4 linked regions of the Drosophila melanogaster genome follow. The protein of the gene in region 4 interacts with the protein of the main gene of each other region in a pairwise test. Each region holds a gene or a part of one and is shown on either strand. Other genes may lie near its edges. The genes, in order: Usf, CG8292, CG15282 and CG16904.

Region 1 (6,412 bases), on a different chromosome or scaffold from region 4:
GGTCATTCGCCAGGTGTCCACCGAAATCCGGAAACAGTTCAATTTGGAGCAGCTTAAGGCGGCCAAGGCCCAAATGCCTGCGAAGGCGACAAAGGCTACATAGTAATGATTGCCATTACAAACAGATGGACTGGCACATTCCCTTCACAAAGCAACCAAATATTTTTGGTCACAAAATAGCTTGTACGATTAATCTGTTCTTAATTAGTATTTAGGTATGTGTGCAAGAGACGTGTGCGAGTGTGTGTGTGTGTGTGTATAGGATAAGTTTTCAGGTATAGTTTTATCAGGCTTTATACACGGAAATGTTCGAAAGGAGGAGGTTCTTTCGATGCATAATACAGCATCGTTATGTCACTTTAATTAATAATATCTTTTAATGAATATTTAAACAACGACTTTTTCACATTCGATAAGAAATAAGCTTTGAATTGTATTCAACTAAGAACTCTTTTGTTTATTTCTGTTTTCAGACAGCTTATTTTTATATTTGTTATATTATGTTTTATATTTGTCCAAAACCTCCTACCTCGAATTTCCCAAAAAAATATCATTAAGATCGCGTATTTATATTTACCACTAGTTTTACATTCAGTTATGTTATCTTAATGCAAAAAAAAAAGGAAATCTACAAAAATAACAACAGCCATTATCCAATCGAAGAACTGCAGGTTCCCGAGAGGAGTTTCTTTGGTGGATTACCATCGGATTGGTTGGGTTTTTAAGGCCTCCAACAGACTGGAAAGACTGGCAAAAGAATGGGGATTGTCAGCGTTGCTCACAAGCAAACCGCTCCAGCCGCAATTCCGGGCACCTTCATAGTCCATATCCAACTTGTTGCCAATGTGAAGGGCCTGCTCCGCTGGAATTTGCAATCTCTGCAGCGGAATTTCGAAGATACCGCGTTCGGGCTTCATAACACCGGCTTCGTAGGAAGTCAGAATGAAATCGAATTTGCCGGCAAAGCCCATGGCGTCCAGGACTTGTGGCAGTGACGAATCGAAATTGGAGATGATGCCCACACATTTGCCGGCATTTCGGACGTTCTGCACCAACTCCTGGGCACCATTCACGTGACTCCAACAGGCGCTGGTCCGAAAAACGGAAATTAGCCGCTGGCCGATCTTCTCCAGCTTCTCGGGCGCCAGACCGTGGTCCACGCAGCTAAAGGTTCGAGCCACCAGCTGAAGCCACCAACGCTGCCAATCCAATCCCGGCGAGTAACGGCCAAAGTTTGGATGTTCGCTGCTCATCGCCTTGAATTGCTGGCGAAAGCATTGTTCCAATCGGCGGCGATCCACTCCGGTGACCCCGAACTCCTCTGCCGTCTGATGGTACTGGCGAAGGGGATCCTCCAGGCGAAGCAGCGTGTCCGTTACATCGAAGGTCACCAGGCGAAAGCGTTTCAAATTCGCAACAAATTGCGAAGTCAACGACATTTTGGCCAACAGTGTGGTATTGTTTGTCCACTAGATATTACGTATATGCATTTGGTATATTTTAATTTTCGAAAAACCTCCAAAAACACATTTGCTTAGTTGAGAATCGTTTATTGAATTAAATGAAGATGCTTTTCTTCATTTTAAAGTTACAGATTTTCTACTTGTATGAAGAGTTTATTTTTTTTTTTGAATACAAACAATTATTTGGAAATGCCGCAAAAATACATTGCCTAAATTCTGGTATTTTTCGCAACAACTGTACTGTGTGTATTTGTCGGCATATATTTGCTGCCCGCCGGCGGGCACACTAAGCCAAACGAAAATAATTTTGTTACAAAAAAAATCAACAAATCGTATTGTTAAATGGCCGTGCGAACACGAACGACCATAAATCCGCCGCAGCGCTCGATTTCAAATCAAATCCTCGAGGCAGTCGGTAGTTAATAATACCGCAGAGCGGCCAGATCGGGGGATATCTACCATCCATATCCGTGTATCCTCCAACTAGAGATCGGAGCAAATAGTGGAGGAGATCCCGAATAGATCCGGAGTTACGTGATTCCCGGCGACACGGATACGATTCTGGCTGGGATTGGGCTATTGGAATTGGTGTACTGCTAACGGCGGATCATCGATGCAACAATGAATGTTCACAAGCGGCCACGTCTGAATATGGAATTCGGCTCCTCCACCAGCAATACCAACACTTCCACATCCCCGTCCTCCGTAAATATCAGCAATGCGAATCCAACAGCTGGACCTGGCCTCATGACCATTACCAATCACCACACCGCTGATTTGTCAGAGGCCCTGGTCCACAGTTCCTTTGCCAATGGTCAGCAAAGTCTGATTCTCACCAGCGACACGGGAAATCCGCTGATGAATAGCCAAGGTGCTCAGATATTTCTCACCATTTGCGGAGACGAGAACTCGGACGATTCGCAGGAGTACTATACGATTAAACAGGAACCGGGATGTGATCTAGATATCCATTCGCTGCTGCCTAGCAATTTGCAGCTGCCCAACAATCTGCAGCTGCCCACTGGCTGTGAGATATATTTGGTCAAGGAAACCGGCAGCTTAATGGGTGAGCCGCCGACGAAGGCGGCCATCAAGCTGGAACTAGATACGCTAAGCGAAAAGCCGCTCCTTCCATCTGTTACAACTTCCTCCAGCACACAGTCCGCGGTAATAACCGCCCAGACCGTGAATCCTCCCATTCCAGGTAACATCAACACCACCACCAGCACCACTAGCACCACCACCACCACCAGTGTCCTGTATGGCTCCCATGGCAATGGTCATGGCCATGGCCATGCTCACGCCCAAGCCCGATCCCAGCCAGAATCAGCTGGCCAAACACCATCCAGCAAACTGGAGGCGTACAAGAAACGCGATGATAAACGTCGTGCCACGCACAACGAGGTCGAACGCCGGCGCCGCGACAAGATCAACAGCTGGATCTTCAAGCTCAAGGAGATGCTGCCCAGTCTGAGCTCCAGCTCCAGTTTCAGCGAGGCCAGCACGAGTCCCAGCACCAGCGGAAGTACGAGTACCAACGGAAGTAGCCATTCCAAAGGCAATGCCAGCAGTTCCAGCGGACGAGCGCCGCCCAATGACTCCAAATCGCAGATCCTGATCAAGGCATGCGAGTACATCAAGAGCATGCAGGGCGAGATTGACACGTGAGTGGAGACGGGTTTGTAGGGGGGAAACCACTGAATCAGAAATCCACAAATATTGTCCGCTATAAGTTGCTGTACTACAGTTATATATACAGCTATATAACTTTTTTGACTTGTTAATGGTCTTAAAAAATGAGTTTGCTTATAGATCTTAATCAACTCCATTCGCTCAATTGAGCTTACATCATGTATCGATCGCATACGGTTAGGAATAAAGTTACCCAAAGGGCGGACACTTGATCTTTCCCACTTTTTCCGTAGAAATGCGTACTTAAAGTGCTGATATAGGGCTGGTGTTATCTTTTTGCAAAACAAAATCCCCATTTTGGAGCGGTTCTTTTTCGCCACTATCTCGTGCAATATGAGCTGGACTCTCGAATGTCCCTGTGTCACTCAAGTCTTGAACACAACACTCTCTCACACTGATCGAATGCGGTTTCCACCCAAACAAAACCCAACAAAATCATACAAAGCCAATCAAACACCTGATCCACCGATTCACCGATCACCAAACATAAACAAACCAATTACTCAACTTTGTCTATCCCCACCAATAAACAGGCTGCGCGACTGTCTAAGGGAGACGGATAGCCTAAGGGCCAGCAACCAGGCGCTGCGCGAGGAACTTGATCGCCTGAAGCGTCAGCAGCAGCTCCAGGAACGCTTCCACACGGCCGGCGGAAGATCGACGTTTAATGTTACCCTAAATTCGCTGAACAGTTCCGCGACCAGTGATCTATTCGAGGGAATCGATACGACACCCAATCTGGCCGCCGTCTCGTCGCTGGGATTCGGCAAGCGTGGCCTGCTGATCAGCGATTTTGATGAGTAAACAAAATCTGCCTGCGAAATAGGAGTGGATAGACAAAAAAAAAAAAAAAAAAAATAGAAATGAAAAACATATGGGTGGACCGATTGGGTTGCTGGTTACGGGAATAAACAAATATGGAGGCGGCGGATGGACAAGCCCTGGCGCCTTCAACAAACATATACGCCCATCCACCAAAGAATGACGTGCAACGTACACGCAACGCAACACACGCAGTACAATAAACGGACATGACGAGTGATTCCTTGTTATCGCCGCTCTGTTATATGTTATATAAGAAAAGCAGCATATATTACATATGTGTATCGATATGTGTATATGGTTATGTATATGGCTATGTATATGCATGTACATATATGCAGTCGAACTTGGGTGACTCAAGCCAAGTTGTTGGCCTAACCGCTTTGACAAAAAGCTGTTCTCAATTGAGTTTAATTAACGAGCCACGGCACAACACAGCTGCTTTTGTATGTTATATGTATCTGTTATTGGTATTATTCCTAACCAACCCCCCCCTCCAAAAAGTGAGCGCCCAAAAAGAAAAAAAACAAATCATGAAAATAACGATCGAACGAATTTTTGTACCACCCCCATGCCGCGATCATTATCATATTTTGTTTAGAGTCTTGGAATATTAGATCACAAACAAATATTGTTGATAAGAAGCTTTAAAGCACGTTCTGTTCTTCCATGTTTTTTTTTTTCGTATTACATTATGTTTAAGATATACGTAGGTATAGTTGTTTTGATTTGCGCAGCGAATCTAGAACTATAACTTAGCCATGTTTCAAACAAACTCTTTGTGTTCATTCAAGAGAATTCACTATGTATTCACTTTCAACAAGAGATTGTTGTATTTAAATCGAAATATGTTTTTCAAAAATATCAATATTGAAATATTAGCAAAGTACAGCGCAAGATAAGTATAAGTATAAGTAATTTCTTGCTGAAAGTGAAAGTGGAAACTGAAGTGGTTAACAAAGTTTTCGATTTGTTGTTATACAGGAAATTAGTTGTAAGTCTGAAGTTTGAGTAACAAAAGTTCGATTGCACAGATGTGAAATGATTTATGTTCTCGGATCCTCAAGCGGTTTGCCATCATTATATACAAACGTACATACATACCTATGAATTACCCAGAAATACAAGCCTAGAAAAAATCTAAAAGCGTTAACGATACCTACCTATTGCATATATACCTTTAACTAAATCATATTTGGAGCATGTTTGTGCTTGATTTTTCGATTTTATTGTACTGTTTCTCGGCACTAATTACCTACAAAAAAAAAAAAAATGTAACGAAAATATACTATATCTAGTTATATCGTATATATATTATATATATATATAAATATATATGGTCTATATATATATATAGAGAGAGAGAGAGAGAAAGAGCGAGAGGCAAGTGTACATACGTAGTGCAGTCGGTAGAACAGTGGGAATTCGAGCGAGATGCGGCTATATAATGCCGCACTGCTCGCCGGGGGCGTGTGCACCGTTACAGATAAAATGCTATTGTTGATAAAGAATAATATTATATTATATTATATTTGAGCATAATGTTGTTGTGAATGTTATATCACTGTTTTCGATATACGACGCTGTTTCAGAAGTATAAGTATACAGAACAGAAGTGTTTTAAATACGATTCATTTGTAATAATGAAAATGCCAAAAAAAAAAGCAAAAAAAAAAAAAAAGAAATCAAACACACCAACCACACCAAAATACAAACACACTAAGATTCAGGATTTTAAGATATAAGATGGGGTACTGGGAATTGGATTATTTAACCCATGGCCGAAAACGAAATGGGATCTTGTGTTACTTGTTGCTATCTATATGCAGTACATTACAATAATATCACATTTCTGTCATTTGACAGCTAATAATTCTATTCAATTTCAATAAACGAACTCAGTAATGGTTAACACACACAATCAATTTCTCATTCAATGGAATTGTTGGCATGCGGGCATTGATTCTTTAGAAGAATATGGTGGTTTGTTCGCACAGCTGGCTTTCCATGATTCCATAAGTTCATATGTTCATATGTACATATGTACATATGTACATATGTATCAGCAAAAAAGCTGATCTCTTTATTGTAATATATTTTAAGGATTACATAGTGCTTAGATACATTGTGTTTACACAATCAGTCGCCTAGCGTAGTCGCCTACATGGAGTAGTCCGTGTTCCACTGATGCAATGTGCAGATTGGCTCCGTTCATATAGTGCACATTAATGTGGGGATTTTGGAGTTCAGAGATTAAAGTGGAACAGGCTGCTGCTGGATCCCCAGTGCTGATTAGCATATTCTGTAGGGAAATAAGCATTACAAATTGTAAACCTTAGTAGAGTCACTTCTTGCATACCGCCCAAAATTCGTTGCCAGGCAGGGCATTTCCATCCCAGGCGTATGTCACCACGGGCAACATGTCCTCCGTTAGT
Region 2 (3,281 bases), on a different chromosome or scaffold from region 4:
AGAACGAGCTGCAGTTCCTTACCGAGTACCACGGCCACTTGCGCGAGGCAGCACTCAGGACGGAGAAAATGACGCAACGCCACAAGGATGTAGGCGACTCGCATCAGAAGATTTCGAATGCGTTGACGCAGCTCTCGACTACGGAAAAGGGAAATGTGGAGACGTTTGTGGCCAAGACAGCGGAGATATTTGAAAGGATCAAGGTGCGCTACGCTGCGTTTTCGCTATAATTATATTTTATAAATTTTCCTCTTGATATTTTAAAGAATCTGGAAACCCGAGTGGCTAGCGATCAAGATCTCAAGCTGGGCGACACTCTGCGCTACTATCAGCGGGATAGCGACGCTGCCAAAGCTCTACTTATCCGGCGACTGCGGTGTTTGGCTGCTTATGAAGCGGCCAATCGAAACCTGGAGAAGGCTCGCTCCAAAAACAAGGATGTTCATGCGGTAAGATTGAGGGATGATCACAACTAGTTCTTCCAGAACTATGTTTCAGATCGTTTAAAGAGCAATTGTTTTCCCTACAAAAAGTTTCCAGCGGGTCAATTAATTCTCACGCTTCACTAATTACAAATAACAAATTATTTGCGTTCTTGTATTTTATTGCTACCGTACACAACCTCACAACTCTCTGATCTGCCTGTCCCTCCCTCTTCACTTTTTGTGCGTGTTTGTGGTTCTGTTTCTGCAGCCGTTGGAGGTGCAAGAGGTATTTGGCATTTAACGTTTTAACCGTCGGTTTAGTAGATGTGTCGCCACCCCACGTAAATGCTGCATGCGCTCCACCGTTGCTCAATCTGTTGTATTCACTTTAGCATGCCCTTGCTGTGGCCCACTTGTTGTGTTCCCTGTATATAATCGTTTTTGTTTATCCTCCAATTAGGCCGAGACTGCCCAGGCGGAGGCCTGTGAAAAATTCGAATCTATGTCTGCATGTGGAAAGGAGGAGTTGATCGGTTTCCGCAACCGACGGGTAGCTGCTTTCAAGAAGAGGTGAGTCAGCAGCTGCTAAACATTTTGCTATGCTCTGCATTTTATTATCGCTTTTCTAAACACAGCCTCGTCGAGCTCTCAGAGCTGGAGATCAAGCATGCCAAGACGCAGTATGAATATCTGCGCCAATCACTGCTAGCGCTCAAAGAGATTGCCTGAGACGGGGAGCCGGAAGTAGACAAGGAATAGAAGGATGAGTCACCCGCACATTGTTTACACACCCCATTGAAACGCAAGCCTCATCGATTACACACATCCGGGAGACGAAGTAAATCAATTGTTTAATTGCTAAGCAAACAGTTTATTATTGCACAGGCCAAATCGAGTGCAACATTATTATCTTAGCCCACGTATTATATTAACGAATATTCATTTGTTTTGTGAACAGAGCGCTTTTATATTTGTCAAACAAGCATTCCTCTCTACAGCATAAACTACAACTACATATATTGTAAACACTTGCATTTGAAGCAGAATATAAACGAGAAATATTGTACAGAAGGCTGGCTGTTTGTGAGCAGTCAGTATACTAGCATTGTTTGGAGTCTATTCGGTAACTGGGCAACATCAAGGGTTTCCAAATTAAGCGTCTCAAGGGGTGCACATTTCCATTGTCGCTGAAAATTGTGTTTGTTGTCAGTGTTAGATAGATTTTCAAAGTCCATAAGCCATGGATGAGTTCGGCGTCTTCGATTACAAGCGCCCTGCCAGCGCTACAGATCCCGATTGGAGGACCTCGTACTATCGAGGGCATCGCCACATTACAGACTTGAGAATGGGTAACAAGCTGAACGCCAAGTTTACGGATAAGGGTATTTATGTAAAAGATCCGCTGCTGTCCGAGAAGCCGACTTCTGAGTGCATGGCCAACTATGTGTGGCAGGTGAGTTGATTGATATGCTGAGATATGTTGCACCAAACTAAAACGTGACCATGATGTTCCAGTATAACGATCCCAACGCACTTAGAAATCCCTCGCTCAACATGAAAACACAGTATATGAAACCATTTGAGGAGGGTTCCCTTCGCTTTGTAAAGCGAAAGATGAAGCCCATTTCTAGTGTCAGTCATGAGTCGTATGTACTTAAGGAGCTGCCGGAGGAACAGGAAATATTGCCTGTAACAATGCCCACTCCGGTGGTAGCCACCAAGCTAGTCATCGACCGTTCGGAGGCGTCCTTTAGCAAGTACCTTGATCCCTCCTCCACCACATACAATCTGTCGTATGTGCGCTGGGGTCCCGAGGACTTGTGTGGCGGAGTAGCTGCCCACGACAATATTACATACTGGAATTGGACGGAGAAGATGCCGCCCATCCAGAAAGTGTCCCGCGAAGAGGATCCTACAATGTGTGACGAGGGTAATACGCATAATTGCCCAAAGCGACGCTGTGAGTTTCAAAACCTCACCAAACGAGTGCCGCATTCGGGAATGGTCACCGAGGTGCGCGCTAATTTCACGGATCCACAATTTCGAAGGGTTGAATTCGATCCAGAAGTTAAGCCCATACTCGTGCACGAGGAAGTCACTCCGTTTGCGGAGAAAAGCGAATACGGCATCTACGGATCGGGAGAACCAGTTATCAAATACGTTTAGTTCTCTACACATTGTTTTGACTTTTTGTCAAGTTAATCAGATCGCTAACTTAAATTATTTGCAATACTTATTGACATTAGAACGAATAATTTTATTGCATTAAATAAATTCTGGATATTATTTAGATGAAAATTTCATTCAAATGAGTTAAAGCTGTGGGGAAGCAGATGGTAGGCGGACGTGACCAGCACTTCAGCTTCGTCCGGAATTGAAGGAATGCAGTTCTCTTGCTCCGGCGGCGGAGCCTTGGCAATGTAGATAGGAATATCATTTTGGATGAACTCCAAAATGAACTGCCGGCAGACTCCGCAAGGTGTGGTAAACCCATCTGGGTGATAGGCTACCACAGCACCCGCCGTATACTTCTTCTCGCCCTCGCTGATACCCTTGGCCAGGGCACAACGCTCCGCACAATTGCCTGGAGTGAAAGCTACGTTCTCGATGTTGCAGCCCGCGTAGATCCTGCCGCACTTCGCACGGAAGGCTGCTCCCACTTTGAATTTGCTGTAGGGCGCATAGGCACATCGACGGGCAGAAAGAGCCGCCTCTAGCAGCTCCCGGCCATCCTCACCTGGAGATTACGGTTTGATTACCAATGGCAGAGGATTCACCATTATAGCCAAGCCTTACCAACAGCACAGAACGCTACTGTGTACTCCTCCAACATCTGTGGATGTGGCAGGTTTTCGG
Region 3 (3,128 bases), on a different chromosome or scaffold from region 4:
TGTTCAAATCATTGTGAACGTTTGTGTTTATAGGGGATTTTTTCTGTTGTTGAAAACGTTCAAGTATCTGGGGTTGACGGGCCCACTAAAAATACAGGTTTGCAATCAGCTCTTCTTGGCGTATGCTCTTCGCTAATCAAATTAGGTTTTTTGTTAAATTATTGCTGTCAGAACATTTGGTTATTTCACAATTTTGCATGAGTCAGTATCTGCCTTTGGTTTTTATGCCAACATCATTTGCGAATTATTCAAGTGTTTGCAATTAATGTTGTTATAGCACAAAAATGTCATTAACCCATTAAGTGATTTTCGATTAGCTAAATAAAAACAATTTTTTATGTTGAAACACAAATTTTTAATTTAATTTAATAATTCATTTTTCTTGATGTTGCTTATGTCCAAAAAAATAAACCCAAACGTATTTATAAGCAAGCGAAATAAATGAAGGTTACTCATTAATAAAATCTCTGTCGATCTAAAGGCCTACAATAAGCCATTGTCAAAACATGTAAATGAGTATTTAAAAACAAAAACTGTTTTGTGTTTGTTATACTAATACGTTCAAATAATTTATTTTAATTTTTAGTCGAGGAACTAAAGTAACAGCCTTAGAAGAAGCCTCCTTGTTGCTGCTGCTGCTGCTGCTCGATTCCTCCAAATCCGCCGAATCCACCGAAGCTTTCCTGCTGCTGTTGCTGTTCTCCGAAGCCTCCGAAACCGCCGAATCCTTCTTGCTGCTGCTGTTGGCCACCGAATCCTCCGAATCCACCGAATCCTCCATATCCGAATTGAGGAAGCGCGGAAGCAACGGCGATAAGGGCCACAAAAACGATCACCTGAATGGCCGTTTATTATTTTTATAAAGTCCTTAATCCCTGCGAGGTGTAGCTCTGGTGGCCAAACTTACCAAGAATTTCATATTGAATTTGAAAATGAATTCAATTTGTACTAATATCCCAGAAGATGAGGATGCTTCGATGTTGCACTCGATACTGTGCCCTTTCTGTCACGTCTTTCTCTATTTATACGATTTTTTTGAATTCATATAATGTTTGAATTTCGGAGGTTCTTTACCCGCACTGAAATAAAAACTTGTCCCAGACACTGGACCAGACGTGGGGGCTTTCCTCACAGGTGACCAGCGTTTCTCTTCCAATCCGGTTTTGAATTTGTTGTGGTTATTGACCGGTTTCCATTTTTTTTTAGGGGAACAGGCGCCAGGTGCGTGGCTTTTGATATGAATTTTAATAGTTTGCCAATTTATATTTAAATAGTATTTTTACTGAATTTATGACTAAGCTATTCAGTTTCTAGAGGCACGTTTCCAAGAATCAATATATTGAACCCAAACTAGACGTTGTTGATGCTACTTGACGTTGTTGATGATGCCTTTGTTTCTGGGGTTCTCAAAACAAATTTGCTTCCTTACTCTAATGTTTACCATAGAATCACATTAATGTGTTACGTGTATATATAATTATTGAATCTTACTGAGCTGGACATTTGAACAAATCACCCCTTCCAATTGCCACATTTATATCCGGGCAAAAGTAAATGCAAATGAGCGTAAAAAAAACATATTTTTTTCAATTCGGTTACATTTCGTTGAGATAAACAAATTCCATTGACATAATCAAAAGAAACTTTGTTGTTTTCTTATTTCGTTGGCGTTCACTTCAAGAGCGGTCCAAACGAAGCGAACCAAGCTCACTCAATAGATAAGTGTCTCGATGGGGAATCACCTGCAGCGAATGGGGAATACTGGCGACCGGAGACCGGAGACCCTGGAAATTTTACCGTACCTCGACGAGGGTGAAGTGAAATTGCATTTGGTGTGCGGCGCCAGCGGCAATCGAGTTTGGCAATACGTGTTGCCTTTAACTTGGCTCTTAACCCTGCCATCCGAAAAGAGGGTGATGCGAAAGACTGCGACGACGAAGACGGTGCCTTTTGGCATACTTCAGTGGAGCGCATAAAACCCTAAATGAATTTATTTGGCTCATTTAAAGCAGCTAATTTATTTTTATTTCATCGAATTTGTGTTTAGTCGGGCACCACAAGTCCCTCTTCCCGGTTGGCAAGTAAGCTGTTTAGTGTGGGTACTAGTGACTTTATCCGTTTAATGTTCAAGTAACTTACAACGCAAACTCGCTCAACTTAACTTAAATCAAAGTAAACCCTCTACTTCAAATAAACCACCGCTTCAAAACTAATCATATAGCCGTTGCTTTTTGGAAATGTGCAGTAATTTTGGTAAAATGTCTAATGAACCCTTTTCGGGAGGCCTAGGCCCTTAAAATTGCAGAGCTCCGGGGAAAACACTCTGGGCCAACGTCTGCGTCGCGTGTCAAAGTTGCAACATTCAACATTCAACGCTCTTTGACTCCTTTGATGGTGGCCCAACACGACACCCAAAGCCGTGCACTGAAATTTGTTCAAATTCATTTCAATTACCGTCAATTTTCAATAATTTTGTTCAAATTATATTCCATTAGGTTCCATAAGTTCAAAAAAAAAACACTTTGCATAAACATAATTAGCCTTTTGCTTACAACGCAACATTTTTGGGACATTCTTTGCTCTTTTAAACTTTAATCGAGCTGAATTTATAATTAAATATTTGCGTCACCGATAGGTAAACAACAAACTGTTGACTACGTTAGTTTCTTGATTTACGTTAAGTTGGTATTGGCGAATGAAAGAAAGGTTAAATAAAATAGTAAAAAAAAAACATTTAAACTATTTAAGATACACATTCTTCGTTATATATAGTTCAGTAGTACCCTACGTTTCCAACCAAGCTGTTTTTTTTTTGATATAACTACGTTTAATTTTAAACTTTTGGCACTAGTAACTTGGCTTGACTTCTTTGGCACCCCCGTGCGACGCAATGTCTTAGGTTATTTGGGTGGCTAGCAATGCATTAGCCCAGTCAGAATGTTATGCCCCACCTGCAGGTGGGTGCAAATTCCTGGAGCTGAATATGTGGGGTGGCGTGTGGGTGGTTCCATTTCCATCCATATGAATTTCACATGCTTAAGCCGCAAACTTATGTGCGCGCACAGCTTGAAATCCAAGCTCACGTAAACTCAACTGGAAACTAAGCCCGAAAGAAATGGTATTCCGAA
Region 4 (3,132 bases):
CGAAAAGCTAGTGCCCAACCAGGAACCACTGCACTTGACTGCGGCTTCGCTTTAATGTTGCCGCATGGCCGCAATTATTCAGCTGGCACTTTGACTCTGATTCGCCGCATGCGATTCCTATGCAAATTCGGCCGGCCACGGGTGACCCTTCCGGTGCCATAAATCGCCGGTGCTGGGCCAGGCTCGTTCCTAATATTCTAATTAAATGCAGCATGGAATGTCCAGAGACGTGCTCGGTCCAAGTTCTGCGGAGCATGCAGATCACGTGCCAAGGGGAATCCCCTCGATTCGACGATGGAAACCACGAGTAGTCGAGATGTGGCCGATGGGATTTATTCCGGACGGAGTCTAACTCCTTGACCTTTTCGACTGCATTTGAATTAACTGTCGATGCATTTGAATTCATCTATTATTCAAACGGCGCATATGCAAATTGTCGAGTACACTCAGAGAAACCAATGATGTATCACTTTATAATTCAAATTTAATTTAAGAAGCCAATGTATTGTAAAAGTAATAATAAAATATTTGTTGATTACAAATACATTCTTATTAAATAATACAAAAAAAAAACAGGATCAAAGGTGGGAATTTTATAACAAAAATTGTATGAAAGTTGGAAAGACACTCTTCATTCCTATGCACCCCAATAGTTATGTACATACGAATTACCAGTTTTTGATCACAGTGTAGCAGGTGCATTCAGTTGACCTTGCCCTTGGACTTGACCTCTTTCGGCCGAATGTAGGTCTTTATGTAGAACTTGGTGAACATCAGAAACATGAAGGCGCTGGCCGAACTTATGACATAGATGACACCCCGCGACGCCGAGCAGTTTGGCTGGAAATAGGTGTACATGCAGTGCAGGAACATCAGGAGGAACTGCACCAGCTGGCCCAGGGTAAGGTACTTCTTCCACCAGAGGCTCTCCTGCACATTCTGGCTCTGCGACGAGGCGTAGTAGTAGCCGTACATGACGATGTGCACCAGAACATTGAACATGCAGATCAGGAAGACATGGCCACCAAAACCGTAGAATCGGATCAGCATGTGCGAGGTGAAGACCATGAAGACGTGATGGAACACATGGAGGAACGTGATCTGGCGCTGCTTCTTGCGCAGCACAAAGAATATGGTGTCCATCAGGTCGAGCACCTTGTTCAGATGGTACATGTACGACAGTGTCCTTTCCGTGGACTTTAGCTCATGATCCTGCGGCAGGACTTGCATGCAGCTCAGGTTGTACGGCTTCTGCACGAATAACAGATGGATGCCCTGGGTAATATGGAGCAATCCATTGAAAACGATTAAAAAACTGTGTATATCGATATCCTTCGACTTACGTACCCACACAAAAATCACCGAATTGAACAGGACTTGTCCGATGTTGTAGAACTTGAGCACACCTCGCAGCTGGAGTGCCTCATGCTTGTCCATCAGCTTCCTGCCCAGCTTGAGCACAAACAATAGATACACCGTGATGATGATCACCGAGGTGCGGATACTGCCCGCCAGCGGCAGCTGGACAGGATCGGCGAAGGGCTTATCGAACACCTCGAACATTTTCGCGCACGACTTAACGAGTGACTTGACTTTTACCTTCTGTGATTTCTTTCTTTCACGATAGCCACTATACTATTACCTATTTGCTAATTACATTAGTGCAAATTTCCGGTATGTTTAACCCACTATCAACCTTCAACTTGAATACTTAAAGCTTTGCAAATCGAACTAAATACAATATAAGTAACAGTTCAACTACGTTTTTATTTTCAACATTTTATTAATCAGCAGTGCCATTATTTACAAAATTACTCCTTTTGACATTATTGTCAATACAACAAAAAAAGTGTTCTACATTTATAAAATACTGGCGAGACCCAATTAAAGGGGTATTTTGCATATTTAATAGCATTAAGCAGTCGAGTGGATAGAGAGTTCTAGAAACCAACAAATATCTCCCATTGCTTTATGTAAAATATATATCTATGTATAATATACGATATATACAATGATATAAAACAAATGAATTTGTTGTATCAAAAGCATTTATTAATGACATTGATTAATGTAAGGAACAGTGATATTAAATCTTAATTAGTTTTGCTCATCGGCCCACCGCCGATTTCGTTTTCTTGGGAAGAATGTAGGTGCGAACGTAGAAGTTACTAAATAGAATTATAAATACTACAGATATCAGTGAGCCCCAAGTTGCCGATAATCGTGATGTTTGACAATCAGTTTGCCGGAGGATATAGACGCTGTGCGAGAATATAATAACAAATTGGACAAGCTGAACGACTGTGATGTATTTCTTCCACCAGAGATCGCCACCCGAGTTCCGATTGAGGGACGACTGGTAGTAGTAGGTGTACATCATGGTGTGCACCACCACGTTGAAGGTGATCAAGAAGAATCCATGGCCGCCGTATCCATAATAATACATGTACAAGAAGCCTATGTACACCATGTATACGTGGTGGAAAACGTGCAGGAACGATATCTGGCGATACTTCTTTCTGAATATAAAGAACACAGTCTCCAGCAGATCCATGAGCTTGTTGAAGAAGTAGGAGTAACTGAGCCAACGCTCCCAGTTCTTGTACTCATGATCCAACGGCAGATTGGATATGCAACTGAAGTTATAGTTGCCAGGACCAAGCATGAAGTGCACACTCTTTAAATTTGGAGATACATATAATGAATATTAATATATTTTTGTTAAAAAAAAGAGCATTACTTACAAATATTAACAAAATGACATTGTATGCGATTTGCACGATGTTGTAGATCTTGATAGCTCTATCCAGATTGTAGGGCTTTTGATTCTGCATAAACCAAGGACCCACTATTTTTATGAAGACTAGATAGATTCCAAGGATGGTCAACACCGGCCAGTGGCTGCTGGTCAACGGAAGACGCACAGGATCCGGTGGCGATCGATTCAGGAAGTCCAGCATATGGGCAAACATGTCGGATATCTAAGTGTTATCGACGTCGGTGGAATAGCGACTGATGTGGACTCCGGCCGAGAACCGAGAAATGGTAATCTGCTCGTTTTCGAGGCTGATTTAAGTGTGTGTTTCTATTATACAAATACCTACATACGTAAGTAAAACCTATTACGCCGAC

The links.
Region 1: the proteins of CG16904 (region 4) and Usf interact in a two-hybrid assay, tested with the Drosophila melanogaster proteins (one large-scale study listed by BioGRID).
Region 2: the proteins of CG16904 (region 4) and CG8292 interact in a two-hybrid assay, tested with the Drosophila melanogaster proteins (one large-scale study listed by BioGRID).
Region 3: the proteins of CG16904 (region 4) and CG15282 interact in a two-hybrid assay, tested with the Drosophila melanogaster proteins (one large-scale study listed by BioGRID).

What each region holds. Positions count from the first base shown.
Region 1 is NC_004354.4:4,544,101-4,550,512, reverse strand, and holds Usf (Usf), read left to right. Parts: upstream 1-1,718; 5' UTR 1,719-2,084; coding exon 2,085-3,127; intron 3,128-3,688; coding exon 3,689-3,959; 3' UTR 3,960-5,896; downstream 5,897-6,412. Other genes in the region: CG11436 (uncharacterized protein), read left to right, coding at 1-103; CG15912 (uncharacterized protein), read right to left, coding at 699-1,439; CG3568 (uncharacterized protein), read right to left, coding at 6,109-6,279, 6,337-6,412.
Region 2 is NT_033779.5:8,216,284-8,219,564, reverse strand, and holds CG8292 (uncharacterized protein), read left to right. Parts: upstream 1-1,547; 5' UTR 1,548-1,665; coding exon 1,666-1,878; intron 1,879-1,940; coding exon 1,941-2,591; 3' UTR 2,592-2,714; downstream 2,715-3,281. Other genes in the region: Snx6 (sorting nexin 6), read left to right, coding at 1-203, 267-449, 694-711, 886-995, 1,061-1,154; CG8349 (uncharacterized protein), read right to left, coding at 2,726-3,162, 3,222-3,281.
Region 3 is NT_033779.5:14,710,533-14,713,660, reverse strand, and holds CG15282 (uncharacterized protein), read right to left. Parts: upstream 1,191-3,128; 5' UTR 1,075-1,190; intron 1,019-1,074; 5' UTR 920-1,018; coding exon 908-919; intron 837-907; coding exon 609-836; 3' UTR 543-608; downstream 1-542.
Region 4 is NT_033777.3:9,815,395-9,818,526, forward strand, and holds CG16904 (uncharacterized protein), read right to left. Parts: upstream 1,586-3,132; 5' UTR 1,564-1,585; coding exon 1,348-1,563; intron 1,276-1,347; coding exon 703-1,275; 3' UTR 534-702; downstream 1-533. Other genes in the region: CG9459 (uncharacterized protein), read right to left, coding at 2,108-2,677, 2,745-2,972.